Canis lupus familiaris: one gene and its partners. The main gene of each other region encodes a partner of the protein of the gene in region 3 in a complex. Links are inferred from orthologs where the notes say so. Each region holds a gene or a part of one and is shown on either strand. Other genes may lie near its edges.

The links.
Region 1: the proteins of F2 (region 3) and F2R are in contact, whole or in part, in a crystal structure (PDB 3LU9), measured with the Homo sapiens proteins. The link is inferred for Canis lupus familiaris from reciprocal best matches to the Homo sapiens genes F2 and F2R. Residues at the interface, in NP_000497.1 of Homo sapiens: Phe382, Arg383, Pro386, Gln387, Glu388, Leu389, Leu390, Cys391, His406, Cys407, Tyr410, Trp413, Lys415, Leu423, Arg425, Arg431, Thr432, Arg433, Tyr434, Ile441, Met443, Glu457, Asn458, Leu459, Asn506, Thr510, Lys517, Gly518, Gln519, Arg541; in NP_001983.2 of Homo sapiens: Ala33, Thr34, Asn35, Thr37, Leu38, Asp39, Pro40, Arg41, Ser42, Phe43, Leu44, Leu45, Arg46, Asn47, Pro48, Asp50, Lys51, Tyr52, Glu53, Pro54, Phe55, Trp56.
Region 2: the proteins of F2 (region 3) and F2RL3 are in contact, whole or in part, in a crystal structure (PDB 2PV9), measured with the Mus musculus proteins. The link is inferred for Canis lupus familiaris from reciprocal best matches to the Homo sapiens genes F2 and F2RL3. Residues at the interface, in NP_034298.1 of Mus musculus: Glu385, Leu386, Leu387, Cys388, His403, Tyr407, Trp410, Asp411, Arg428, Arg453, Glu454, Asn455, Leu456, Trp501, Gly502, Asn503, Trp508, Thr510, Gln516, Arg538, Ile539, Asp559, Ala560, Cys561, Glu562, Gly563, Asp564, Val585, Ser586, Trp587; in NP_032001.2 of Mus musculus: Asp54, Lys55, Pro56, Asn57, Pro58, Arg59, Gly60, Tyr61, Pro62, Gly63, Lys64, Cys66, Asn68, Asp69, Ser70.
Region 4: the proteins of F2 (region 3) and SERPIND1 are in contact, whole or in part, in a crystal structure (PDB 1JMO), measured with the Homo sapiens proteins. The link is inferred for Canis lupus familiaris from reciprocal best matches to the Homo sapiens genes F2 and SERPIND1. Residues at the interface, in NP_000497.1 of Homo sapiens: Lys384, Ser385, Pro386, Gln387, Leu389, Leu390, Cys391, His406, Cys407, Tyr410, Pro412, Trp413, Asp414, Lys415, Leu423, Arg425, Ser430, Thr432, Arg433, Tyr434, Lys440, Ile441, Ser442, Met443, Asn458, Leu459, Lys470, Trp511, Ala513, Asn514; in NP_000176.2 of Homo sapiens: Glu75, Asp76, Asp77, Asp78, Tyr79, Leu80, Leu82, Ile85, Phe86, Asp89, Asp91, Val305, Glu306, Met307, Thr308, His309, Gln327, Asp343, His361, Lys362, Arg388, Thr457, Val458, Gly459, Phe460, Met461, Pro462, Leu463, Ser464, Thr465.
Region 5: the proteins of F2 (region 3) and SERPINA5 are in contact, whole or in part, in a crystal structure (PDB 3B9F), measured with the Homo sapiens proteins. The link is inferred for Canis lupus familiaris from reciprocal best matches to the Homo sapiens genes F2 and SERPINA5. Residues at the interface, in NP_000497.1 of Homo sapiens: Arg383, Pro386, Glu388, Leu389, Leu390, Cys391, His406, Cys407, Tyr410, Pro412, Trp413, Asp414, Lys415, Trp455, Glu457, Asn458, Leu459, Asn506, Arg541, Ile542, Asp562, Ala563, Cys564, Glu565, Gly566, Asp567, Val588, Ser589, Trp590, Gly591; in NP_000615.3 of Homo sapiens: Gln241, Lys295, Lys296, Arg297, Thr368, Ile369, Phe370, Thr371, Phe372, Arg373, Ser374, Ala375, Arg376, Leu377, Asn378.
Region 6: the proteins of F2 (region 3) and F2RL2 are in contact, whole or in part, in a crystal structure (PDB 2PUX), measured with the Mus musculus proteins. The link is inferred for Canis lupus familiaris from reciprocal best matches to the Homo sapiens genes F2 and F2RL2. Residues at the interface, in NP_034298.1 of Mus musculus: Phe379, Gln384, Glu385, Leu386, Leu420, Arg422, Arg428, Thr429, Arg430, Tyr431, Arg433, Lys437, Ile438, Ser439, Met440, Lys467, Pro470; in NP_034300.3 of Mus musculus: Thr46, Phe47, Glu48, Glu49, Phe50, Pro51, Asp54, Ile55, Glu56.

Annotation. Positions count from the first base shown.
Region 1 is NC_049224.1:30,090,546-30,094,774, forward strand, and holds the start of F2R (proteinase-activated receptor 1), read right to left. Parts: upstream 2,801-4,229; 5' UTR 2,758-2,800; coding exon 2,670-2,757; intron 1-2,669. UniProt on the Homo sapiens protein: High affinity receptor that binds the activated thrombin, leading to calcium release from intracellular stores.
Region 2 is NC_049241.1:46,146,494-46,150,593, forward strand, and holds F2RL3 (proteinase-activated receptor 4), read right to left. Parts: upstream 2,779-4,100; 5' UTR 2,388-2,778; coding exon 2,285-2,387; intron 1,992-2,284; coding exon 922-1,991; 3' UTR 501-921; downstream 1-500. UniProt on the Homo sapiens protein: Receptor for activated thrombin or trypsin coupled to G proteins that stimulate phosphoinositide hydrolysis. May play a role in platelets activation.
Region 3 is NC_049239.1:43,219,303-43,222,802, forward strand, and holds part of F2 (prothrombin), read right to left. Parts: intron 3,432-3,500; coding exon 3,326-3,431; intron 3,226-3,325; coding exon 3,089-3,225; intron 1,672-3,088; coding exon 1,354-1,671; intron 1,048-1,353; coding exon 922-1,047; intron 846-921; coding exon 719-845; intron 286-718; coding exon 118-285; intron 1-117. UniProt on the Homo sapiens protein: Thrombin, which cleaves bonds after Arg and Lys, converts fibrinogen to fibrin and activates factors V, VII, VIII, XIII, and, in complex with thrombomodulin, protein C. Functions in blood homeostasis, inflammation and wound healing.
Region 4 is NC_049247.1:30,854,149-30,857,370, forward strand, and holds the end of SERPIND1 (heparin cofactor 2), read right to left. Parts: intron 2,173-3,222; coding exon 2,028-2,172; intron 1,345-2,027; coding exon 1,153-1,344; 3' UTR 501-1,152; downstream 1-500. UniProt on the Homo sapiens protein: Thrombin inhibitor activated by the glycosaminoglycans, heparin or dermatan sulfate. In the presence of the latter, HC-II becomes the predominant thrombin inhibitor in place of antithrombin III (AT-III).
Region 5 is NC_049229.1:63,891,198-63,895,188, reverse strand, and holds the start of SERPINA5 (plasma serine protease inhibitor), read right to left. Parts: upstream 2,801-3,991; 5' UTR 2,659-2,800; intron 2,530-2,658; exon of another isoform or gene 2,415-2,529; intron 1-2,414. UniProt on the Homo sapiens protein: Heparin-dependent serine protease inhibitor acting in body fluids and secretions. Inactivates serine proteases by binding irreversibly to their serine activation site. Involved in the regulation of intravascular and extravascular proteolytic activities.
Region 6 is NC_049224.1:30,171,636-30,175,775, reverse strand, and holds the start of F2RL2 (proteinase-activated receptor 3), read right to left. Parts: upstream 2,801-4,140; 5' UTR 2,601-2,800; coding exon 2,537-2,600; intron 1-2,536. UniProt on the Homo sapiens protein: Receptor for activated thrombin coupled to G proteins that stimulate phosphoinositide hydrolysis.

The DNA of each region.
Region 1 (4,229 bases), on a different chromosome or scaffold from region 3:
TACCACATACTCAAAAGATTGTTGAGAGGAATAAACAAGACAGTATACGTAAAATACCTAAAAAGGATGCTGATGTAGTAGGTGCTTGATATAGAGTGGCTGGGATTTTATTTATTTATTCATGAGAGACAGAGAGAGGGGCAGAGACACGGGCAGAGGGAGAATCAGGCTCCATGCGGGAAGCCTGATGCGGGACTTGATCCCGGGACCCCAGGATCCCAACCTGAGCCGAAGGCCAATGCTCAACCACTGAGCCACCCAGGTGTCCTAGAGTGGCTGTTTTTAATTAAATGTGAACATGTGGAGCGTAAGGGAGGGCATTTTGGCCAGAGGGCATGGCAGGGGGCAGAGGCCAGAGAAAGCCTAGCTCCCAGGAGGAGGGACTGGAGGGTAGGGCTGGGTGGAACATGGGTAATCTCACAGGTTACATAACAGAGGCGGCTGCGTAGAGGCTTGGGACCCATCCTGCAAGGGGAGGGGCACCTCCTTCTATGCTGAGTAAATGGGCTTGAGCCTGTGGGCAGCCGTGCAGCACGTGGCTTCTCCCAGCCAATCCCCTCTGCCACAGTATCAGCGATTCTTTTTTTTTTTTTTTTTAATTTATGATAGTCACACAGAGAGAGAGAGAGGCAGAGACACAGGCAGAGGGAGGAGCAGGCTCCATGCCCCGGGAGCCCGACGTGGGACTCGATCCCGGGTCTCCAGGATCACGCCCTGGGCCAAAGGCAGGCGCTAAACCGCTGCGCCACCCAGGGATCCCAGTATCAGCGATTCTTGAACCCTTCCATCCTTCATGCAGATCCTTATAAAATTGATAAGCGTCACCTCTTGGATGCTGGCCCTCTTTGATCTCACTTAAATTACCCAAGAGAAAGGGAAGTAAATTGGGTAATGAACTTACGAATTTCTCAATAAACATTTGCGGAGCAGACCCTGGTTCTAGACTTCCTGGGCATAAATGGAAGCCTATAATCTTGGCCGGGGAGATGAGATACCCACATAGTGACAGTGCAGCAAATGCCAAAACGAGCGGGTACAAAAGTCCCAAGAGCTTCAGGAAAGCTGAAACTGGTGGGCAGGGCCAGCCTGGAGAGCTTTCCAGGGCCTGGGGTCTTAGGCTTCCTCCCATCACGTAAAGTGCTGAGGGCAGATACCCTTTAGAACTGCCAGTGGGCCGTGATAAGACAAAGCAGACCTATTTTTAGTTGATCTTATGAGTGATTTCAACTCTAGAGACACTTATTTCCTGCACACAGGACCCCCTCCTCCATCTGGAGCTTTGCTATACTGTCTCTGAGTCCTGGTTTCAGGGGGATGCCCGCCAGCCTTAGCAGTGTTTTCTGAGAGGGGGAGACTCTCAGGTGATCCGAGTGCAAATGCCTCCGGGCCTCCGGGCCCAGGGCCTGCCCCCGAAGAGGACTCAGCTCCGGCTCTTTTTTTTTCTCTCACCCTCCTTTCTTCTTTCCCTCCCAAAGTGCTTCCAGAATCCAGTGTAGATAAGCTAGCCAATCTCTGTTCGGTTATCCGTCTACGCTAGCATGTCCAGCTTAGCGTGCCCCTTCTCAGTTCACAAGCAAGAAAGCTGAGCACAAACACTGTGGACTTCACCGTACTCCCCCACAGGCGCCAAGGTCTTGGGGGCCTTGAGGAAGGGTGACTTCAGGGGATCTGTGCCGGTATAAACTTATTCCTGACCTCACCATCCAAATCTCATACAACAATTTGTATTCTCAAGAGCTTGTCCCCAAATAAAAGTACAAAGTCACATCACAGAGCACATAACACCGTACAGTTCCCAGGACTCTGCAGGCGTCTTCAGACACCAGGAGACCGTGCGGATGTTCTCCGCAGCCCCCGGGGCTGCTGCAGAGCCGGCTCCTGCGTGGAGCTTGTGCTTTGCCCAAAAGCACCAGAGCAGAACTCAGTCTGATGGAGAGAAAACTCTACCTTTGTCACCTCTTATTCTTAATGCAACTACTCTAGTTCCAGTGTGAAAACGGCGTAAAGGACACACAATCTGTCACCAATAAGAAAAAGTACTATCACTATAAAGACATTGAAAAGTGTTTTCCCTTGGGTTCTGTTAAAAACCAGTTACCCGTTAAAAACAACTTTTTTTTTTTACCAGTTAAAAACAACTCCGTCCTGCTTTTTTTTGCGGGGGGGGGGGGGATTTGGAAAATACATGTACTTGGTCAGGTAGCCAGACACTTGGAGACACGCAGTGGGTGGGACTCGTGTCGGGGTGGGCAGCCCCCCTGGCAGCGGCCCGAAGGGCGGCAGTGAGACCCCAGGGCGCGAGGCGGCCGCCCCTGGGGACGCCCCCGGCCTCGGCGCGCTCGGGAGGCCGGGGCTGCTGCGGGCTCCCCGCCCGGCCTCCCCGCCCCCCCGGCTGCCGCCGCCGGTGCCCTTTGCTCTCCCCACGTGTAAAACGTGCAAGAAAAGCCATTTTCCAACAAAAGAAAACTTTATCGGGGACGCCTCTCCGCTGTGTATCGAACGCGCCAGGAGCGGCGGAGCGGCGTGGGCCGCGGTCTCCCCGGGGCGGTCCTGGCACGAGGGCCCGGAGGCGCAGGGCCGCGCGGCCGCGGAGCAAGGGCGCCCCGGACGGCAGCTCCCGCGGCCCAGGCAGGGCGCCCCCCGCCCCCCCCGCGGGGCCCGGCTCTCACCCGGCTGGCGGCCGCGGACGCGCGCGGACAGCAGGGGGCCGCACAGACCGAGTCCCGCGGCGACCAGCAGCAGCCTCCCCGGCCCCATTGTCCCGGCGCCGGCGCCCCTCGGCTCGGCTGCGCGCCCTCCCTGCGGCCGCGGGCTCCGACCGCCGCACACTGCGGGCCGCGGGGCGCTCCACGCGGGGCCGGGCACGCTCGGCGGGCGGCGGGCGGCGACTCTGCGGGCGGCCGGGCGGCGGCGGCTCCCCGAGGACGCGGGCGGCGGGGCGGGGCGGGGCGGGGCGGGGCGGGGCGCGGGGGCGGGGGCGGGGGCGGGGCGCGCGGAGCCCCGCGGCCGGAGCCGGGACGGACCCCGAGCCCCGCCGCCGCCCCGCCCCCGCGCCCCGCCCCCTCCCGGCGCGCCCCCCGCCCCCTCGCCCCTGCTCCACGCCCCCTGTCCCCCGTCTGCGCCCCCCGCCCCGCTCCCACCCGGCGCGCCCCCGCCCCCGCCCCCGCCCCCGCCCCCTCGCCCCTGCCGGGCGGGAGAATCCCAACGCGACCGTTTCCCTCCCGGCGCCCGTGGCCGGCGGAGCTCGGGGCCTCGGACGGGCTTCGGCGGCCGCTCGCGGCACCTCTGCGGCCCCGGGAGCACGGCCTCCGTGGCGGGGCTCCGCGCACCCAGGCGCCCCCGGCCCTTCCCGCCCGCCGCCCAGGCCGGGGGAGGCCAGCGGGAAGCTTCGAAGTGACTCGTGTTCTTTTCACTGTAGCGAGAGCGGACAGGCTGCGCCCTCCAGGGAGCAGGGCCGGGAGGAGGAGCCGCCCGAACGCGGAGGTCTCCGCTAGTCGGTGAAGCTTTGCCCCCGGGGGTCGCGCTGCTCCGCAGCGGGCGGGGATCCCGAGGGCGCCCCCCCGGCCCCGCCCCTCCCGCGGCGGCCGCCCCCGCCCCGCCCCCCGCAGCACCTGCGCGGCCTTCGCGGCCCCTCCCACGGCGGCCGCCCTCGGCTCCCCGCCCGGACCGCCGTCCCCCGGCCTCCCCCCTTCTCCCCACCCACCTCCCGCAGCACCTGCGCGGCCCCTCCCCCGCCCCTACCCTCGCTCCACGCACCCCCTGCTCCCCGCCCTCGGCCCCCCCCACCTCTGCTCCCCCCGCCCCCGGCCCCCCCACCTCTGCTCCCCCCCACCCCCCCGCGGCCCCTCCCCCGCCCCTACCCTCGCTCCACGCACCCCTGCTCCCCGCCCTGGGCGCCCCCACCTCTGCTCCCCCCGCCCCCCCCCCCGCGCGGCCCCTCCCTCGCCCCTACCCTCGCTCCACGCACCCCTGCTCCCACCCTCGGCCCCCCACCTCTGCTCCCCCCGCCCCCCCCCGCAGCACCTGCGCGGCCCCGTCCCCGCCCCTCGCTCCACGCCCCCCTGCTCCCCGCTCTCAGCCCCCTCACCTCTGCTCCCCCCGCCCCCCCGCAGCACCTGCGCGGCCCCTCCCTCGCCCCTACCCTCGCTCCACGCACCCCTGCTCCCCACCCTCGGGCCCCCCACCTCTGCTCCCCCCGCTCCCCCCGCAGCACCTGCGCGGCCCCGCCC
Region 2 (4,100 bases), on a different chromosome or scaffold from region 3:
GCTGTAGCCCTCACCCCCAGGCCTTACCCGTCCACCCTCCAGATGCCCACCCACCTGGTCCTGGGGTGGTGGGAGACATTAACATCAAGAAAAGGATTCAGATCTCAGGTTGACGGGAAGAGGTGCCATCCTGCAGCCAGGGTGACAGCAAAAGACAATCCTGTAGATCCCCATGCCAGGCCGCACCAGGTTTTGGGGAGCAGATGAGGGCCTCCTCAGTGACTGTTCAGGAGATGCCCCAAACCCGGGAGCCTGTCCCGGAGCTAGGCCCTGGGCTTTGGGGAAGGAGGACTGCCGTCTAGCCTCCTGGCCACCTGGGCCATGACGGGGTGGGCAGCCGGAGCAGCCTCCCGGGTGGGGGTCCTGCAGCAGCTCTAGAGTGGCCTCGGCAACCCCTCTGCCCCACCTGGGACACGAGGGAGCTGGCCGGACCTGGGAATCTGCATTTAGCCCATATGTTAGTTTCTTGGCACTGCTGTAGCCAAATACCACAGAACAGGTGACTTAAGACAACAGAAATTTATTTCTCTGACAGTTCTGGAGGCCGGAAGCTTGAGATCAAGGCGTGGGCGGGGTTGGCATCTTCCGGGGGCTCTGAGGGAGCGAGGCTTGGGCGGTCGGTTTCTGGCGGCCTCTGGCCGGCGTCGTGTTCTCTGGCTGTGGCTGCGTCACCCCAATGTCCGCCTTCGTGGTCAGATGGCCTCCTTCCCGGTGTGTATGTGCGTCCTCTCCTTATAAGGACACTGGTCACAGCGGATTTAGGCTCTCCCCTCCTCCGGTGTGACCCAATTTCAACAGTACCTGCAAAGCCCCTATTTCACAGCAGCTCACCTTCAGGGCGTCCCTGTAGACAGGAACTGGGAGGGGACCCCGCTCGGCCCGTGCAACCCCCTCTCCGTCTGCCCCGCCTCCCGGGGCCCGTCACACCAGCGAGGTGGAGCGGGTGCCGGTGCCCTGGGTGGCCCCGTCCCTGGAGGCCGCCGAGGCGCCCGGGGCCCAGCAGAGCAGCCTCTCCCGCACCTTGTCCCTGAACTCCGCGGACACGTAGTAGTAGATGAAGGGATCCACGCAGCTGTTGAGGGTGCTGAGCGCCAGGCTGGGCACGTAGGCCGCGTACAGGTCCCCCCAGGCGTCCGGGCCCGGGTCCGAGTAGTGCAGCAGCAGCAGCGTGTTGCTGGGGACGAAGAAGGCCAGGGCCGAGGCGAGCACCAGCGCCGTGAGCCCCAGCGCGTGGCCGTAGCGCGGGCCGCCGGCCGCCAGCGCGCACAGCGCGGCCGCGTAGCTCAGCAGCACGACGAGCAGCGGCACGAAGCAGCCGAGCACGGCCAGGCACAGGAAGGCGGGTCGCCAGTAGGAGGCCTGGGCGCCCGCGGGCAGCGCGTCGTGGCACAGCACGCGGGGCGGCCGCGCCAGCCGGAAGGTCTGCTGCTGCAGCGCCAGGGGCAGCGCCAGGGCGGCGGCCGCCAGCCAGGCCAGCGCGCAGAGCCCGGCGGCCAGGCGCCAGCCGCGCAGCGTGAGGGCTCGCAGCGGGTGCACCACGCCGAGGTAGCGGTCCAGGCTGATGGCCGCCAGCAGCAGCACCGAGCCGTACATGTGCCCGTAGAGCGCCGCCGTGGTGGCGCGGCAGGCCGCCTCGCCGAAGGGCCAGTGGCGGTCCTGCAGGTGGTAGGCGATGCGCAGCGGCAGCGTCAAGGCCAGCAGCAGGTCGGCGGCCGCCAGGTTCATGAGCAGCGTGGTGGAGGGCAGCCGCGGCACCCGCGTGGCCAGCACCCAGAGCGCCAGGCCGTTGGCCGGCAGCCCCACCAGCAGCGCCAGCCCGTACACGGCGGGCACCAGCCTCGTGGCCACCCAGCCCAGCAGCAGGGCGCGGGAGCTTTCTGGGATCTCCAAGATCTCGCTGTTGTTAGCCCAGGGCTGGCCGGGGAAGCTGCGCAGGTGGGGCGAGTGAGGGGTCCCCTCCTGGGGCCCGCTCAGGGGCCCCACTGTGCCATCTGGGGGAAAGGGGATCGAGGCGTTGAGAGTCCGGTTGTCACCCCCGTTTCCCCCACCACCACCACCCCGCCGGTCCCTCCCACTGCGGGATGCTGCTCCCTGGGGGCTCCGGTCCAGGCTCCAGCTCTCAGGAGCCCCCAGCCTGGTGAGTCAGAGCTGGACAGACACCCCCAGCCCTGGCACCGGGCTGGGTTGGAGGACTGCCCCCTCCCAGCCAGTTCCCTGTCTCCCACTCATCAACTCTAGGCCTCCCTCCAGCCCCCAGACAAGGCCCAAGGGCATGCACCATTACCTCCCCCTGTGCTCCCCATCTCGTCGTAGGTGAGGGGGCTCTGGCTGTCGTCTTCCAGGTTGAACCCCATAACCAGAGGCCAGAGCAGCACCAAGGCCCACATGCTGCCAAGGCTGCTCTGGGCTGGGGCCGGCTGACCTAGGGCTTCCTGCCTGGCTGGACCCCCCACCCCCAGCTTCCTGAGTGCCAGTGGAGGATTGGACAGGCCCCAGTGAGATAAACCAGTCCCTGCCCCCACAAGCCTGTGACAGGCCCATGGTGTGGCCTGAGGAAGCCTGGTGGCCAGAGTCACTTGGTTTCAAAAACAGGGTCCCAGTGCTGGGCCGGCAAGATGGGGGAGGAAATTCCCCACCCTCAGCCTCTGTCTAGCCCAGAAAGCCTCTCCCGGCTGAGTGGCTGCTTCCTGCTACCCGGTCATGTGTGCAGCCCCCGTTCCCAGGACAGCCCTGCAGGTCACGTCCCCAGGCAAGGGCTCTGCACCCTTCCTGCAGCCCCCCCCCACCCCCGCCCATCCCTGTCTGTGGCTGGCTGGACCAGAGCCCTGCCTCCAAGTCAGAGGTCAGAGCAGGTGAGTGGTCCTCCCCCCTCCCCAGACACCCGGGTCCTCTGTGGGGGCTGCCCCGCCTTATTGCGACTATCCTGGGGAGCAGAGAGGAGCCCAGCTTCGGCCTCCTTCTGGGTCTTGAGGCCCCTTCTGCTCCCCTCCTGGCTCCATCCGCAGCTTGGGGCTCCCGGGAACGGTCAAGGCCAGAACTCAGCCTGAGAGTGGTGGCCAGGCCAGCCCGGGAGAGAGGGCCCCTGAGCCACCCACCCTCCTCTCGCCCCTCCTCGTCCCTGCACTCAGATGCGGGCCCACCTTGCAGGTGAAAAAATTCAGAGGGGCTCGCGGGGGAGGGGGAGGGTCCTCCTCTCTTCTGCACACAGTCCCCCCTGATGCCCCTCCAGGGAGAGGCCTCCGCCGTGCTCCGCTCCACGCTGGGGGGTCTCGACCTGTGTGGTCAGGCTGCTGCTGCTGCTGGGGTGGGGGGGGTGTCTGAGAGCAGGAGAACCCCGAGGCAGCGGTAGGGGGGCAAGGAAGAAGAAATGAACCAGGGGTGGGAGAAGGGCAGCGATGCGGCCTGTCCTGGTGCTGGGAACCCTAATCTAGCCACACACTCGAGGTCACGGGGACCAGCCAGGAAGTGACCGAGCAGTCCCGGACGGCGTCGGCGCAGCTGAGGGTGAGATGCCAAGGTCCCGGCCCCCAGCCCAGGGTGGGGGACCCAGGCCCAGACAGTTCCGGCGGGGACAGGGTCTTAGCCGGGAGTCTCCCGTTTCCGGACTGTTTCCACCGGCACCGGTGACAAATTCAGCCACCTCCTGACCGAGGTCCCTCTGAGCTCACAGGGAAACCCAGATGGGGACCCCCTGCTGCCCTCCAGGAGCAGGACGGGGAACCTGTGCAGGGGCGGCTGGGGGGCTGGCGGCTGGGCGACTCGGGGGAGGCTGGTTGGACTCAGGAGTCTGGGGAGGGATGGGGAGGCGGGTGGGGGGGGGCACGCGGGCAGGAAGTCACTTGTTGGGGGGGCGGGTATTCTCCGCAGGGCGGAGGCGGGGTTGTGTATCCCCAGCCGCATCACAGAAACAACCCTGTGCCAGCAGGAGGGGGCAGCCCCCCCCCAGGATGTGTGGGGCGCCCTGCCGCGCCAGGGGCTTTCTGGAGGATGCTGAGGGCAGCCGCCTTTGGGGAGAGGGACTTGGGTGCCTACCGTTTGTGTGTTTTTGTGTACTGTTGGGATTTTTCTGTGTCATCTGTCACTATCCGTAAAAACCTCAC
Region 3 (3,500 bases):
TCCACTGTGGGAAATAAACAGACATATCCCACATTCCCAGGAACCACCAGAGGCCCCCACGGTCACGCTGGAGGACTCTGACCCCTGCCAGACATCCAGTGGCCTCCCATCCTGTACCTGGTACGGGAGTGCTTGCCAATGCGCACCAGAAGGTCATTCTCTGTGAAGTTTTTGTCCCAAGGTGGGTACAGGAGACAGTGGGCAGCAGTGAGAACCCAGCGGTCACTTATGAGGCTGGCCCCACACAGCAGCTCCTGGGGACTCTTCCGGAAAAGCATCACCTGCCTGCGACGGGGGAGGGAGGGAAGGGGAAGCCTTAGGAGCTGGGGAGCTGCCCCTCTACCTGTCCTAAAGTAGAAAGTCCCAGTTTTCAGAACTGGACAGAGGTGCCTACTGGGCCCAGACCCCAGCTTGGCCTGGTTGCCCTTGCGGACTGGGACCTTCACACCACACCAAGGGGCTGCCTCCTGCTTTCTGCACCCCTCCCCAGCTTCTGCAGGTCCAGAATTTGCACAGCCCGGCATAGCTCTGGGGCCAGAGAAAGTAACTCAAGTAGGCAGACCCCTTAAGCTCTCTGGGCCTCAGCCTCGCTCTCTGCATGTGAGAAGCAATACCCCCAATCTCAGAGGGGTGCCAGCTGGCATCACCTGGGAAGCCCAGGCCTGTGAGGGAAGGGGCAGCCCCAGAGGGGCCCCTCCGGCCCGCCCGGACTACGCACCAGGGCGCGAGGCCAATCTCCGCGTCCCAACCCTCCACGATGCGCCCGTCGATGTAGGACTCCAGAAGCTCCCCTTCCGTTTTGTCCTTCACCGACCTCTTCTCGAACAAAGGTCGCAGCCCACAGTCTGCACAGCAAACCGGGCGTGAGGAGCCGAGCTGGGCTCTGCGCCCCTGCAGCCCCCGCTGCCGCCGCTGCCTCACCTGCCTCCCCGGCGCCGAAGGTCTTTTCGTTGAAGAAGGGCTGGAACTCCTCTGCGGTGGTGCGTCCCTCGATGGCCGTGTCCTGGTCCTCGGCCAGCCCGTCGCCCACCTCCTCCACGGGCTCCTCTGCGGGGAGCAGGCACCACTGGGGCCAGGCCAGCCTGCGCGCGGCCCTCGGGCACCCCCCGCCCAAGCCTCCGCGCGGCCTTGGAGGGCCTTGGGCGAGGCCCGGAGCGCAGCGCACGGCGTCCTGGGGACCTCGGCCTGGGGCCTGAGCGAGTTCAGCTGCGCGTGGGGCCAAGCGCACCGGGCCGCGGGGAGACGGAGCTACGGCGGACCGCGCCCCCCAGCGGCGGGGCAGTCCTGCACCCGGGAGGCGCTGCTCGGCCCCGCCCCCTGCCCCGCCCCCGCCCCGCCCCCGCCCCGCCTCACCGCAGTAGTCCAGGTCGCAGTACTCAAAGCCACCTGGCTCCTCCGACACGTAACACCACGCGCCCTCCTCGTCCCCGTCCGGGTTGCGGCAGAAGTTCTCCACCAGCGGCACCGCAGGGTTGAAGTCCTGGTCCTTGCTCAGGGCCTTGGCCTGTCTGCTGGCCCAGGCCAGGCAGGGGGACCCATGTGTGGTCACCGCCAGGCGACCCTGGTAGTACCGGCCACGCTCAGGGATGCAGTGCTCTGATGGAGGTGACAGATTCACCGTGGGGCCTCCGGAGCGTGGGGTCAGCGGCACAGTGACGCCTCCCTGCTGGCCTGGTGGGTGGGGAGGCAGGGGAGCAGAGTGGGTGGGGTGGGACAACACGCGGCCAGGGGGTCAGGGTTTGACTTCCTGCCCTGCCACCTTCTTCCTATGTGGCCTCAGGTAACTTGACCTCTCTGAACCTCGCTTTGCTTGCCTATAAAAGGGGTGACTGATACCACTTTTGTAGGGTTGTTGAGAGACTTAAACAAAATACATGCTGTGTCTGGTGCATTATGAGACAGATGGCAACTCGGTTTCATCTCCTGGGCTATCTGTGATATATTGGTAGTGACTGCCTGGAGTTTTTAAAGAAAGAGTCTATTTTTATAGTGGACAGCAGGAAAAGTAGCTGGGATGACGAAGGATGGCTTCATGGGCAGTAGGGCAATTTCAGCAGCCCTGCGAAGTATTGGGGGTGGGCAGGCTTGGTATATGGTAGCTGCTTTTGTTACCATGACTGGTAACTTGCTGTAATATAGTCCCAGGACCAAGCCTTAGGTCCAAGAGGGATGCATGAAGGACAAAGATACACCAACCTATATTTGGTAGTTTGATTGCTGGCACTAATTCTTTACCCTTGCCCAGATCCACATCCTCTGCCCTGTGATTTTATAGGTAAAGGTACACATCTGCAGCTGACGTTGGCCTTGATCATGCCCAATGGAACATGGGCAGAACTGCCTTGACACACATCATGTGTTTCTGAATATTTTTTTTATTTTTATTATTTTACCTCTGCCATAACTTTGGGAGATGGTGCCTTTCAGCCTCAGCCCTGGAATGAGTAATGTGGAGCAAACCGGGACCCAACCCACACAAGGATCCAAGCTCAGCTGGACCCATTGTTTGAAGCAGGACCAGCAGCCAAGCCCAGCCTACATTGTGGCCAGCACAGACATAGGCAGGCACAGCTGACATAAGCACAGCCACCCAAGCCAACCCTCAGACACATAAGAAATAAATGCTTATTGGTATATGCCTCTGAGCTTTTGCAGTTGTTTGTGATTTTGTGGGATCTGCAGCATTATTGTGGCTAAAGCTAACTGACACATCAGGCAAAAGGATAATGACAGAATCATGCTGGGCTGGACCATGTGAGGCTTGCTCTGTGGTGCTCAGAAAAGGGCACACAGGCTGAAATGGTTAGGGAAGGCTTCCTGGAGGGAAGAAGGCCTCAAGCAGGAAAGAAAGCATATTTGGAATGAGCTATAGTCTGGGTCACCAGGACTAGAGGCAAAGACTGGGGAGGCAGGGGAGGCCAGCTGTCTCTGCTTGACTTCACTGACCCACGGGCCCAAATGTGTTTGTTGTAAGTGACTAAGCCATGTTTGAAGGTAGCCAGGGTCTAGCTTCCTGTCCCAGGCTACCAGGCCCTATGGAGAGACCCCTGAGCCCTGGCCATGGACTGCCCAGCCTTCCCCAGCTCACCGCAGAGGGAGATGCTACACTCCTCTCGCCGCACGGTGGGGTCTATAGTATAGCACCAGGGCCCAGTGGTGCTGCCATCCGGGTTACGGCAGAAATTCTCCTGCAGGTCGGCCCCAGGGTGGGTGGTAGAGTTGATTCTGGAATAGGAAATTGCTCAGCAGAAGCTGTACCCCCCATCCAGTGTGTCCCAGCCCCATATTCTCAGCCCACTGGCCAACAGGCCAGCCCATCACTCACTCAGGCTTATGTGGGTAGCGACTCCTCCATAACTGGCACTCGATGCCTGACCGGGTGAAGCTCACGTTCCCTCGGTAATTCATACCCAGACCTTCAGCACAGCTACCTGCAGAGACCCCAGCCCCGGTCTCTTACCATCTGTCGCCTCTCTCACTTAACAAAGCTCTGTCTGTCC
Region 4 (3,222 bases), on a different chromosome or scaffold from region 3:
AGCCTCTCTTACAGGGTTCTGGGGGTCATAGATAGCTGCACGCACAGCACTTCTGATGCTCTCCCTGTCACTGCCCAGAGTCCCCAGCACTGCAGAGGCACCAGCACGCTTGAATTCTGAGCAGCCTTTTTAGATTCCACTGGTCTTACCCAAGTAGCAGAGACATTTAAATGTCACCTGCTTTCTCAAACCAGACCCACTATGGGAGCTTGTCTGAGGGTCTCCCTGTGTCCGGGGATGAAAGCCATAGCATTTGCCCCCACAAGGACTGGCATTTCAGGAATTTCCATGAAGCTTCATCCACAGCACCTTTGCCCCCACGATTTAGCAACACTCACCATGTCCTGATCCTGAGGAGTATGCCTGCTGTGTAGCACATGAGTCACCATGAAGAATCAAGTTGTTTTTTGTCAACCTCTGTCACTCCTGGGGATGTCAGCTATTTTGAATTTGGTCTTTCTTAGTTACTTGAACCTCAAAAAAGAGAATTATAACAGACACACAGTAAAAGTGGCGATATTTATTTATCTCTAAGGTGGAAAGCATGGCCACGTGTACACACTGTCCTCTGGGCAGCAGTGAGGTGACAGCAGAAGTATAGATGACATTTAACATCAACTTGGAAAGTTGGGCCTTGAGAGAATTAAGCCCTAACACCTAGGGCACTCCTTGAATGTCACAAGGTTGTTCCTGTCCTGGGCACCATCTTTGGGAGAGGTGAGAGATTAGTCCTGCAGCTCATTTCTGTGTTCTGTGTTCAGATGAAGAGCGCCGGCAATTTGAGTAAAAGAGCCGAAAGTTCAAGGATTAGGTACTGCAGAGGAAGGAGGTGCACAGGCAGGCCCTCCACAGGTTTGCACTGAGGAAGTGGGAGTAAGCCAGTCTCTATGTTGCTGACAGCCTCTAGGTAACAGCTGACGTATCACAGGTACGTTCACTTCTACGAACTGCTGGCATTGTTCACTGTGCTGAACTGATTCCGGTGAGCTTCTCAGTCATTTGTAAATTTCTCCTCTCCAATGGGCCTCGATTTCAGAATGGTAGCATAAACCACAAAAGCCATGATGCCAAAACATCTCCGTTCTCATTGTTAGAATGGAACCAGAATTACAGAGTGCCCCCAAAACACTTCAAATGCCCAGACCTCCACCTTTAAGACTTGGTGGGGTTGGCAACTCTCCCCATGAAGAGCAGACAGCTGGTGCGGTGCTCATAGACGAGGAAGAGGAAGGGGCGGTCGACAGTGAACCGGACTTGGGTGGACAGCGGCATGAACCCCACTGTGGTCACGGCGGCAGCTTGGGTGCCCTCCTCATTCACCGTGATGGTACCTTGGTGCTTGAACTGTTTCAAAATGGAAAGGAAGTTGTCAGATCCCATCAGTGAGCACACAGAAGGATAGATGATATAGTGAGTCTCCTCTCATTTAGGGTAGAAACACCACATAACAAGGCACAAACCACAGCTGGCCAAAATGACCCTTGAAGATCTCTGCCAGATGTGGTAATTGTGCTCAGAGGCTGTGTCATATAAATAGTATGTATCTCTATAAACTCCAACATCATAGTCTCTCATGGTGGTGGCCCATAGTATGAGTAATCTGCCAGCAAGACAGCAGCTGCACGCCCCGTCTCCCCTGTACTACGCTCTAGGTGCACTGCTAGAAGGATGGGGTCGGGTTTTTTGGACTGGTGTTCTCTCTTGTCTTGTAGTGTGTCTATTTTGTCAAGTTCAGTATGCAGGTCATGCATTTTTGCTGCATGTTAAAGGATCTTTCATGATTCAGCTGAGTGTCGCTATTTCAGGGGTTGGAACACATGCCTCCTCTCTTTCTGCAGTCAGTGAGAATGTGATTCATTCCCATGCTGCTCCCTAAAACAGACTACCCTACCCACACAGTATCTGGCAGACTGAGGGAGAGCAGATCCAGCACCCCTGACTTCTGAAGTCAGGACAGACAGGAGGGAGGCTTTGCTGGGGGCAGACCCTGGGCACAGGTGCGGAGGGTGGACAGAGGGAGAGGTTACCAGATCAATGGTGATCCTGTGGTCTGAGATTCCGGTCATATTGCTTTCTTTGTCAAACAGTGCTGTGACCCCCATTGACTTCAGGGCCTCTACCAGGTTGTAGTTCTTCTCCAGTTTGAATTTAGGCAGAAGTACCTCTCGAGTTCTGGGCAGAGAAGAAAAGGGTGCCCAGTTTTATTGAACTACAAGTTCCAAAAGAATCCTGTTTTTCCCTCAAATGCCCTCACCTCCTTTCCGCCACCAACCCCAGGTTGCTTTTACCACAGAATAAAATTTATATCACAGTACTATCAGTTGAGTTTTGGGGAAAGACCATCCATTATGATTCCAGTTTCTTAAAATGTAGGTATGGTTAGTGCTATCCAGTCATTTCCTCCATACTGTAGGGTTCATGTTCCGCCTTACGGGTCAGCAGCAGAACTGTTACTGGTTTATGGTTTGAAAGTATCTAAAACAATTCTCTTGATTCCAGGAATTTCTTGTTAAGTAATCAGTTGAATATCTGGTCAATATACAGAAAAAGGAACCCTTCACATGCCAGACAGTGTTGCATGTTCTCTGTCCTTGCTTCAACACATTCAGTCTTTACGGATAAATAGCAACTACAGTGCCCATGAGGCCAAATCCAGCACACAAAGGGGATAAAGAGACATCAGACACAGTCCCTCTTCTCAAGAGCTTGCTTTCCTTTTGGCAAGCCAGGACTCAAGTGTGTGAAGCAGCAAAATGGTAAAGGCGGTATGGTAACGTCTGAACAACTAGAACAGATCTCACTACTGGAGCCATCCAGGAGGGGGTGGGAAGGAGCAGGTATTCCTGTGGCCTAGAAAGCTGCCCACAGCCTGAGACATGGCGTGAGCAAAGCCTGGAGGACGCTTGAGCTGGACTGCCAAGGGGCACTGTTCAGGCTAGGAGGAAAGAGGAGGAGGGGCAGAGTAGGCCAGATGGGAGGCCTAGAAGCTGGGCTGTGTCCTGTGGGCAGGTGGCCCACAGAGAGCTTCGGAGCAGAAGAGCCGGGGCGGAAGAGTGTCTTAGGAATGCTGTTTGGAGACCAGTGCAGGGTGGCTAAAGGAGTGGAATGGGCAGGCTGGTTAAGCCTTCTTAGCTCAGGGTGGGATGTCATAGGCGATGAGGTTAGGAAAAAGAGGGGACATTTTTAAGGAAAAATTGACAGGGCCTGATGACTCATCCCCTC
Region 5 (3,991 bases), on a different chromosome or scaffold from region 3:
CTTGAGCCAGTTCCTTCCTCTCTGCAGGCCTCAGCTTGTTCATAAACAATTCTCCCCACCACTGCCCCTTTGCCCCCCACCAAGCACCAGAGGTCTGGTGGGCCAGAGCCACTTTCTCAGCACCCACCGAGTCTCCCCAGATACCGGGGTCTCCTTGGAGGCGGCCCCAGCCTCATGCCCTCTCCCCTGGGCTGCAGGTTTGGGACCTAGAACTCTCCACTTGGGCTCACTCTCTCTCTCTTACTAAAACCAGTGTTTGAGGACGCCTGGGTGGCTCAGTGGTTGAGCCCCTGCCTTCAGCTCAGGGTGTGATCCTGGGGTCCTGAGATCAACTCTTGCATCAGGCTCAGGCTCCCCGCAGGGAGCCTGCTTCCCCCTCTGCCCGTGTCTCTGCCTCTCTCTGTGTCTCTCGTGAATAAACAAATAAAATCTTAAAAAAAAAGAAACCCAAAACAGTGTTCATTAACAACCTCTTCAATACTCTACAAATATTACTGCATCTACCCATCAAAGGAAGAAACATCATTGAGACCATTTTGCGGATGGGTAAACTGAGGCTGAGCAAAATGGTATATAGCTTGTCTCAGCCAGTGAGTGATGGAGCCGGGATTAAAATCCAGATTCCTGTGACTGGTGTACACACTGCCTCGTTCTTCCTTTCACGGTTCTGAGACAGATACCTTGTTCCCTCTCCCCTGTAGCTAGGTCCTCGTGAGTATCCCCAGGTCTCGCCCAAGCTCATTTATGCTCCTCCACAGCAACACGGAGCTGGTATCTTCACCATCATTGTACAGAGGAGGAAATAGGGGGTCCGAGAGAGTGGAGGCATGAGGGTGCTGGTTTTAGGCTTCCCAGTTTCAAACCCGGACTGTGCCAGTCATCATATTACTAGGCCTCCGGCGGAAAGACACAGCTTTGACAGAGTTTTGTGCCAACTGTGAGCTGGGGCGAGTCTGCTCCAGGCCCTGGGAGCCTGGCCCCTGGGAGATGGGCTCTCAATCAGGAGAGTGGAGCCTGGCCTCGTTGGCCCTCTCCTGGGCCCCCCGATGCCAGTGTTTCTGCAGAGAGGTCCCCGCATGTCCGAGGGAGAAGAGCAGATGGATCCAGCGCATCTGGCACCCCAGGCCAGAGTGACTTGAGCCGGCCGGGCTGGGCAGGGCAGGGCCTGGGCAGGCGCTGAGGAAGTCCTCCCACTAATCCCCACCATCCATGGACTCCAAAACTGCTGCACTTATTCCGAATGCTAGGTCCCAAAGTCCTACCAGGTCAACTTGGAGCTCAGCTGTGGGAGGTGTGTGCCTAAGGAGACCTGTCTGCTCCTCCTCGCTGTTGTCATGCCTTGCCCCTGCCCGGCCCCTCCCCGTGCATTGTTATTCTCTAGGATGGCCCCTGAGCCCCCACAGTGATGGAAGCCCGGGTCCCACGTGCATTTGCAGGTGCCTTCCTGCCTCCCGGCCTCTGTTCCCAACTAGAGCACGAGCTCCTAGCAGAGAGCAACCGAAAAGCAACCGAAAAGGCTCTTGCTGTGAGGTTTGCAGCCAAGGGCTGGTGCTCAGACCCCTTTTTGGAAGAATGAATGAATGAATGAATGAATGAATGAATGAAGTCCTTCTCTATGGCTCAGAGGCTTTAGAACCTGTGCTGGACGCGAAGCCCTCCTGCACCCAGGGCTAACTTGCCAGGTGGCTTGGAACAACTCTCCTCTGCTATTCGGCTTCCATTTCCCTTTTCCTTCCTAAAAACTCATTTCTTGAGATACGAGTGACATACAAAAAGCCCTGGGCCATGTACACCCGTGAAACTACCACCAGCACAAACGAACCCATCGCCTCCCGGCCCCCTCTGCCCACCGCCTTATCCTTCATGCTTCTTGATCCGTGACCAAGGACGCTGGGCAGCAACTGCCCCTCTCCTTAGAAAAACCGAAAAGTATACTTATTTTATGTCCAAGTTTCGCCTATTTAACAAATCGCCACACAGCATCCGGAGCTCGAGCAGCCCCTGAGACCCCTGTAGGTGGCAGCTCCAGCCGGGGCAGCCCTGACTCAGGGAAACAGAGCTGTTCCGTCGTTTCTCCTGATTTCTAAAGGTCCGAGATGGCAGGTGCCGAAAGCCAGACAGAGGAGCACCGCCTGTGGACCAGACTCTGTCCCCTCTACCTTGTCTCGGGGTTTCTCCACCTCGGAGCTGTTCTTTGTCATGGGGGCTCTCCTGTGCCTTGTCAGCGATTTAGGGGCATCCCTGACCTCTACCCACTAGACGCCAGTGCAACTCTGTCCCCAGCTGTGCCCACTACAAATGTCTCCAGATGTTGCCAGATGTGCCGCAGGGATCAAAATCCCTCCTGGGCGAGAGCTACCACATACCGAATCTTCACAGCCACTGTGGGGAAGGTGTAATAATTCGCATCTTACCTAAAAGGACACCAAGGTGCTGCCAATGTAGTGTGTGCCCAAGTTCACAGTTCTGGGGCAGAGGGTGGACTCTGCGGCCTCTGAGGCCCTGGCTCTCTCCCCACCCCCGCGGGAAGTTTTCCTGGTCACTCTGGCGCTGCCCCAAAGCTTCGAAGCCTCTCAAATCCCAGAACCCCAGTATCCTATCAAGCCCCATGCCCTCAAGCCCGTGGGCCCCCTGTCCGTCTTCAATGCCTGTACTTACTCTGTCTCACAGTCAAGCGTGCACACAGTGGAGGTCCCAGTCCCTCACGCTCAGCGAAAACCAGAAGCTGTTGGAAGGAGCATTTGTCACTGACCTGGGCAGAGCCCTGACTCCGCCCCCGCCCCCTTGGCCCTGCCCCGTCCTGTCCTGGAGGGCTTCTTGCCAACGGGTAGGCTGCAGGCACAGCCACCTGAGCTCTGACCTGGGGCCACCCACTCACCAGTCTTACACAGACCCCCGTTGGCCTCCACAGCACGGGGTCCCCAGGGAGGCCACCTGCTGCTGGCATTCCAGACACAGAGAAAGGGACACCCTCTGGCAAGCCTTCCTTTCTCCAGGCTGATTCCTCTGCTCCCACAGCCACTTGGCTCTACATCTGGGGCAGGATCGTGCGAGCCCGAGGTCTCCACACCCCCCAACACTACCGGATTCCCAGGCAGAGCTTACAGGATTCCTTCAATGGTGAGAGTCTAGAGGAAGTCAGAGGGACTGTCACCATGGCTGGATGCAGGGACCATTGGATCCAGTCCCCTTGCTGTGCAAATAACTGAATTGAGGCTCAGAAAGATGAGCGGGACATCAAATTAGGGACAGAATGGTGCCTGGTGCCCAGGTCACCAACTTCAAGGTCAAGGCTTTTTCCTTAGGAAAGGACTGTATCTGGGTTTTCAGTAGGCTCAGCTGGAGCTGAACTGCCCTTTTTGACCTTGACCTTGGGGCTCTGGAACTCAGCCCCGCCATTTCAAGAGCATTTCCAAGATACTGGTGCAGGGTGCTGGCTCAACCCTTGCTTCATTCCCAAGGTCCCCGGGCCCTGGTGTCAGGTGTCCTGCGTGTGGCCAAGACCCAGGGGTGATGTGGGTGAGCTGGGGTGGGGAATTGGCAGAGGAGACAGGGGGCCAGACGTTGCCCAGGGGAAGCGATCTTGGTGTTCAGCAAACAGGGTCCCTCTACTGCCTCTGAGACCAGGAGGAGACTGAGGCCCACCTCAGTCCACAGGTTAACACCATCACTACTGGGCATTGAGCACTTACTTTGTGCTCGCTGCCTCCCAGATGTGCTGGAAGGTGGGTACTAGTATCTCCATCGGATCAGTGAGAAGACAGAAGCAGAGAGAGGTTAGGTAATCAGCCCAAAGGCACACAGCTAATAAGGGGGAGCGTTAGCAAGGGGAAAGCTAGGTCTCTTCCGTCCATTGTCCCATGTGACATAGCAAGAGTCCTTTAAAGAACCTAGAGATTCCTAAACTGTGTTCTGTAGGGTGGAAATCGTATTACATGCCTGTGCTGGGGTGGATAACATGTCCCCCAAAGATAGCCACATCCTAATACCC
Region 6 (4,140 bases), on a different chromosome or scaffold from region 3:
AGGACATGAGTAGAGGAGACAAAGGAAGAAAAATGAGAAGATGGACATAGAGAACGTGGTCAAATAACATCATAACGTTGTATGGGTGACAAATGATAATCACACCATACAATGTGTAGGACTGTTGAATCTCTGTGTTGTTCACTTGAAACCAATGAAACCAAAGTCAACTATACTTCAATTTAAAAAACTAAAGAAAAAAATTGGAAATGGAACAAAAAGGAATAGAGACATAACATTATTCTATGTCCTATAAATGGTGGGCATTGGTTGGCAGGCTAATTTTAATAATCCTAATACAAGAGCAGTTTCAAAAGCGCACAATAGACCTTAATACTCAAACCTAATTCTCATTAAATAATTCTTCCATAAATTAGTCTTTGATATGTACAGAAAGTAGATCCTCTGAAATTTCTGAGATAGATCTTGATGCTGAATACAAATGTCATACGAATTTAAAAATGCCATTGCTCTGCCAGTTAGGTCTTTTCGTATGACCTCTGAATTCTTACATGTTGAATACTTGGGGTTAGTGATGAGTAAGGTGGTTCTCATTCAAAGCCAGTTTCTCTTCCTGCTTTAATCTCTAGCAGTTCGCCCCCAGGTGAAATTGAAGCCTTCCTCATAACCCTGAGATTGCACAAACAGAATTCAGTGTATAAAACAGTGTTGCCTGAACAAGTAGGGACAGGGAATTGCTCAGGTGTCATTTAAGGGAAGATAGACTGAAGAAAAAAAAAATCTGAATAGTGTTCTTCTGTGCCTGTGAACTTTGAAAGTATGTGGCATGTCACTTGAGTTCAGCCACACGAATCCTTTCTCGGGTTTGCATTTTGGAAAATGCTTAAATTTGACATCACCCATAGAGAAGTGCCTTGGGAAGTAGGCACAAAGCTGGAAGACAGTGGCTGGGGAACATGGTGTACGAGATATTTCCTTTCAAGATCTGATAAGAGAGTTGTTGATACGAAGTGTTTGTTAGTTTTCAGAAAATTCCTGTGGTTGAGCAAGACATGGTGCCTAAAAGCATGGTAAACAGTGACTCTGTGAAAAAGTCTTGATTCTTTTTTCCATGAGAATTCCAGATCTGGTTCAGTGTGAACAAGTCTTTTATTCCTTAGAGAGTAGTGTGACTTAATAGTCCTCACTGTTAAATTTTACATAGTTTTTTAAAAAATTTCTTTGATTTCTTAATACAGGCTTACATTTGGCATAATGTTTCTGAAATGTTTTTAACTTGGGATAAGGCCTTAGACAGAGGACCAGACTTCACCCTCTAGATGATGGGTTCTTCGCTCACATTTCTCCCACCCTACAGAAGAAAGCACATGCACTGCCCATTCCTTTGTCACCTTTAAATGCCCCCTGTTCACCTCTACAAACCCCCACCAATGTCTTGCAGGAACCGCCACCAACATCTTGCAGGAACCCCCTTCACAAACTTTTCTTTTCCTTTTCTGCTGTCTTTGGGTTCATTTACAGCCAGAAGGAACAGTCAGTTATCCTATTCACGAATCTCACATGTGCTCTTGCGCTGAGTGGGTTTTCTTAGCGCTTCCCTACAACCACCTTGGTGATTGAAGCAACATTCTTTATGGAGGTTTGGTTTTGTTACATTTTTATTTATTCTACTTCATCATCTTCTCTCACCCCAGTTCTCCCGCTCCTAACAACATTGGCTGGAAAACAACCTGATAGTAAAAGAATTATGGGTAGATCTATGACAAACTGGTTTGTTTTGGAGTAAGCAGGAGGCTGACATTGTGTTGAGCAGAAGAGGAAACAAGAGTTGAATAAAAATATTTGGGAGATATCATTTCTAAAACTAAAAGATCTTGTGAATGTAGGGAAGACTCCATGATAAAACAAAGTCAAAAAAAAAAAAAAGGTATGTCATTAAAGAAATATTGACTTGTCAGCCTTACTTATTCTAAAGAAAGACCACTCATTCTTTCTGGGAATATTTATGTTTCTCCCATTTGTGCTTCAAGAGAATGTATAAACATAGGATTTTTTTAAATATCTGGAAAAGGTACTATCTTTGCTGAATCAGAGGAAATTCTTAGAAAATCAGAATCTTCTCACAAAGAAATTTGATTCTTAATTCTAGAGATCTAAAATCTTGACCATGCCACAAATTTTTAAATCTAAGCAGAAAGGACTAGTCTTTGATAAAATGTGAATAGAGTAAACAAGCCGTAGCTATCCACTTCCATGATTCTACCTTTTCTTTTTAAGGTTTTATTTATTTATTCATGAGAGACACAGAGGCAGAGACTCAGGCAGAGGGAGAAGCAGGTTCCCTGTAGGGAGCCGGATGTGGGACTCGATCCCGGGGCTCCGGGATCACGCCCTGAGCCAAAGACAGATGCTCAACTGCTAAGCCACCCAGGCATCCCTGATGCTACCTTTTAATAACAAACATTAAAGTGTGCCTTTTGGGTTGCAGATTGCATGACACGCAAAGAAAATTGGATGCAGTTCATTCTCGTTACACAAACCAGCACCCCCAACACCCCATGAGAAAAGAGCTTACCGCTTTGACAAAAAATGGGTGACAGAAGCATCAGTCCAGCAGCTACAAAGATGAGGGCTTTCATCTTGGTGACCTGAATCCCGTTTCCCAAACGTTATTAAATGTATAAACTAGGGAGCCCGGCTGCACATCAGTTTCTTGTGTTAACAGCAAATGGAAATCTCGTTCTCTCCTTAAAATGTGCTGTCCTGTGCTCTGCAGGCTGGGAAGCTTGCCCGGGTCCTCTGGAGGGAAAGGGTGTGACAGGACTCGTTGCAGTGCGCATGACTCAGGCTGAGCCTCTGAGCACATTACTTTATCCCTGGAGAAAATCCTTTAACTCTTACCCACCTCTAATAATCTGTTCTGAGTAGATGCTGGAAGGTAATAGACAGTCCTTTACAGAAGTAAGCTGATGATGGATGTTGAGTAGCAGTTAGTTTTGACTCTGTCACCTATCTCATTTTTATGCATTTAAAAAACACTGTTCCAGGGGGTAATTTCTTCTCAGTAATGAAGCTGTCAGAAATTATCCTTTCCTTATCCTTCCAGCTCTTTCGAATCTTAATGCTTAAACTCATTACATAATTATAAATAAAATGAATCATGAAAAGCAAGCATTTTTTAGGAAGTGAAATTTAAGAGCTTGATTACTTTGAAAATTCTCCATCAGTGTCACATCGGTCTGAATTTGTCATTACTCCTTGGCCAGATTTGGTTCTATGGTGTTTTGTTTTGCCATAACTCAGCACACTCTGAGCTGTTGGTTAACTCTATAGGATCAGGCAAGGGTGGCAGCAGGCAAGGGGAGAGGGGTGGTGGGTGGAGGCGGTGTTAAATAATACTTGGTTAAACTGAAATCATGATACAGCATTGAATGCAGAGGACTCTGTTTATTCCATGGTTGTTGGTGAGGTCTATAATGAGCTTTTTTTTAATTGTGGCAAAATATGTGTAACATACAATTTACTATCTTAATCATTATTAAATGTACAACTCAGTAGTATTTAGTACGATCACGTTGTTACACAATATATTAGCTTTTATGAGTAGTTATTTCCTGGAGGATATGATTTAATATGTAGTAAAAAGAAAAAAAAAAGAACTGCATTGTAACAGATTTTTCTGTAATTAACACAACTTAAGGTTAAACCCTAAGCCAAACAATCCAACAGCATTTTGCATATAAAATGTAGCAAGAATCAGAAAATACAGGTTTCACGTGAGACTTACAGGCTGTCGGATAAGCCGGGAAGGAGTTGATCTGTGTAAACTTTTCACACTTGATTAAATTTCATCACACCAAGAGTTTTACAATAAAAACTCAGTGTCTAAAAGCACTCGGGTGGCTCAGTGGTTGAGCGTCTGCCTTTGGCTCACTCAGGTCATGATCCTGGGGTCCTGGAATCAAGTCCTGCATCAGGCATCTCAGAGAGAGAGAGCCTGCTTGTCCCTCTGCATATGTCTCTGCCTCTCTGTGTGTCTCTCATGAATGAATGAATGAATGAATGAATGAATAAATAAATAAATAAATAAAATCTTTTAAACAAAATTCAGCATCTAATATTTTAGCTACATAATATATGATAACAGAAGCTGAGATTGAAAGCTATTTTATTGTGGAA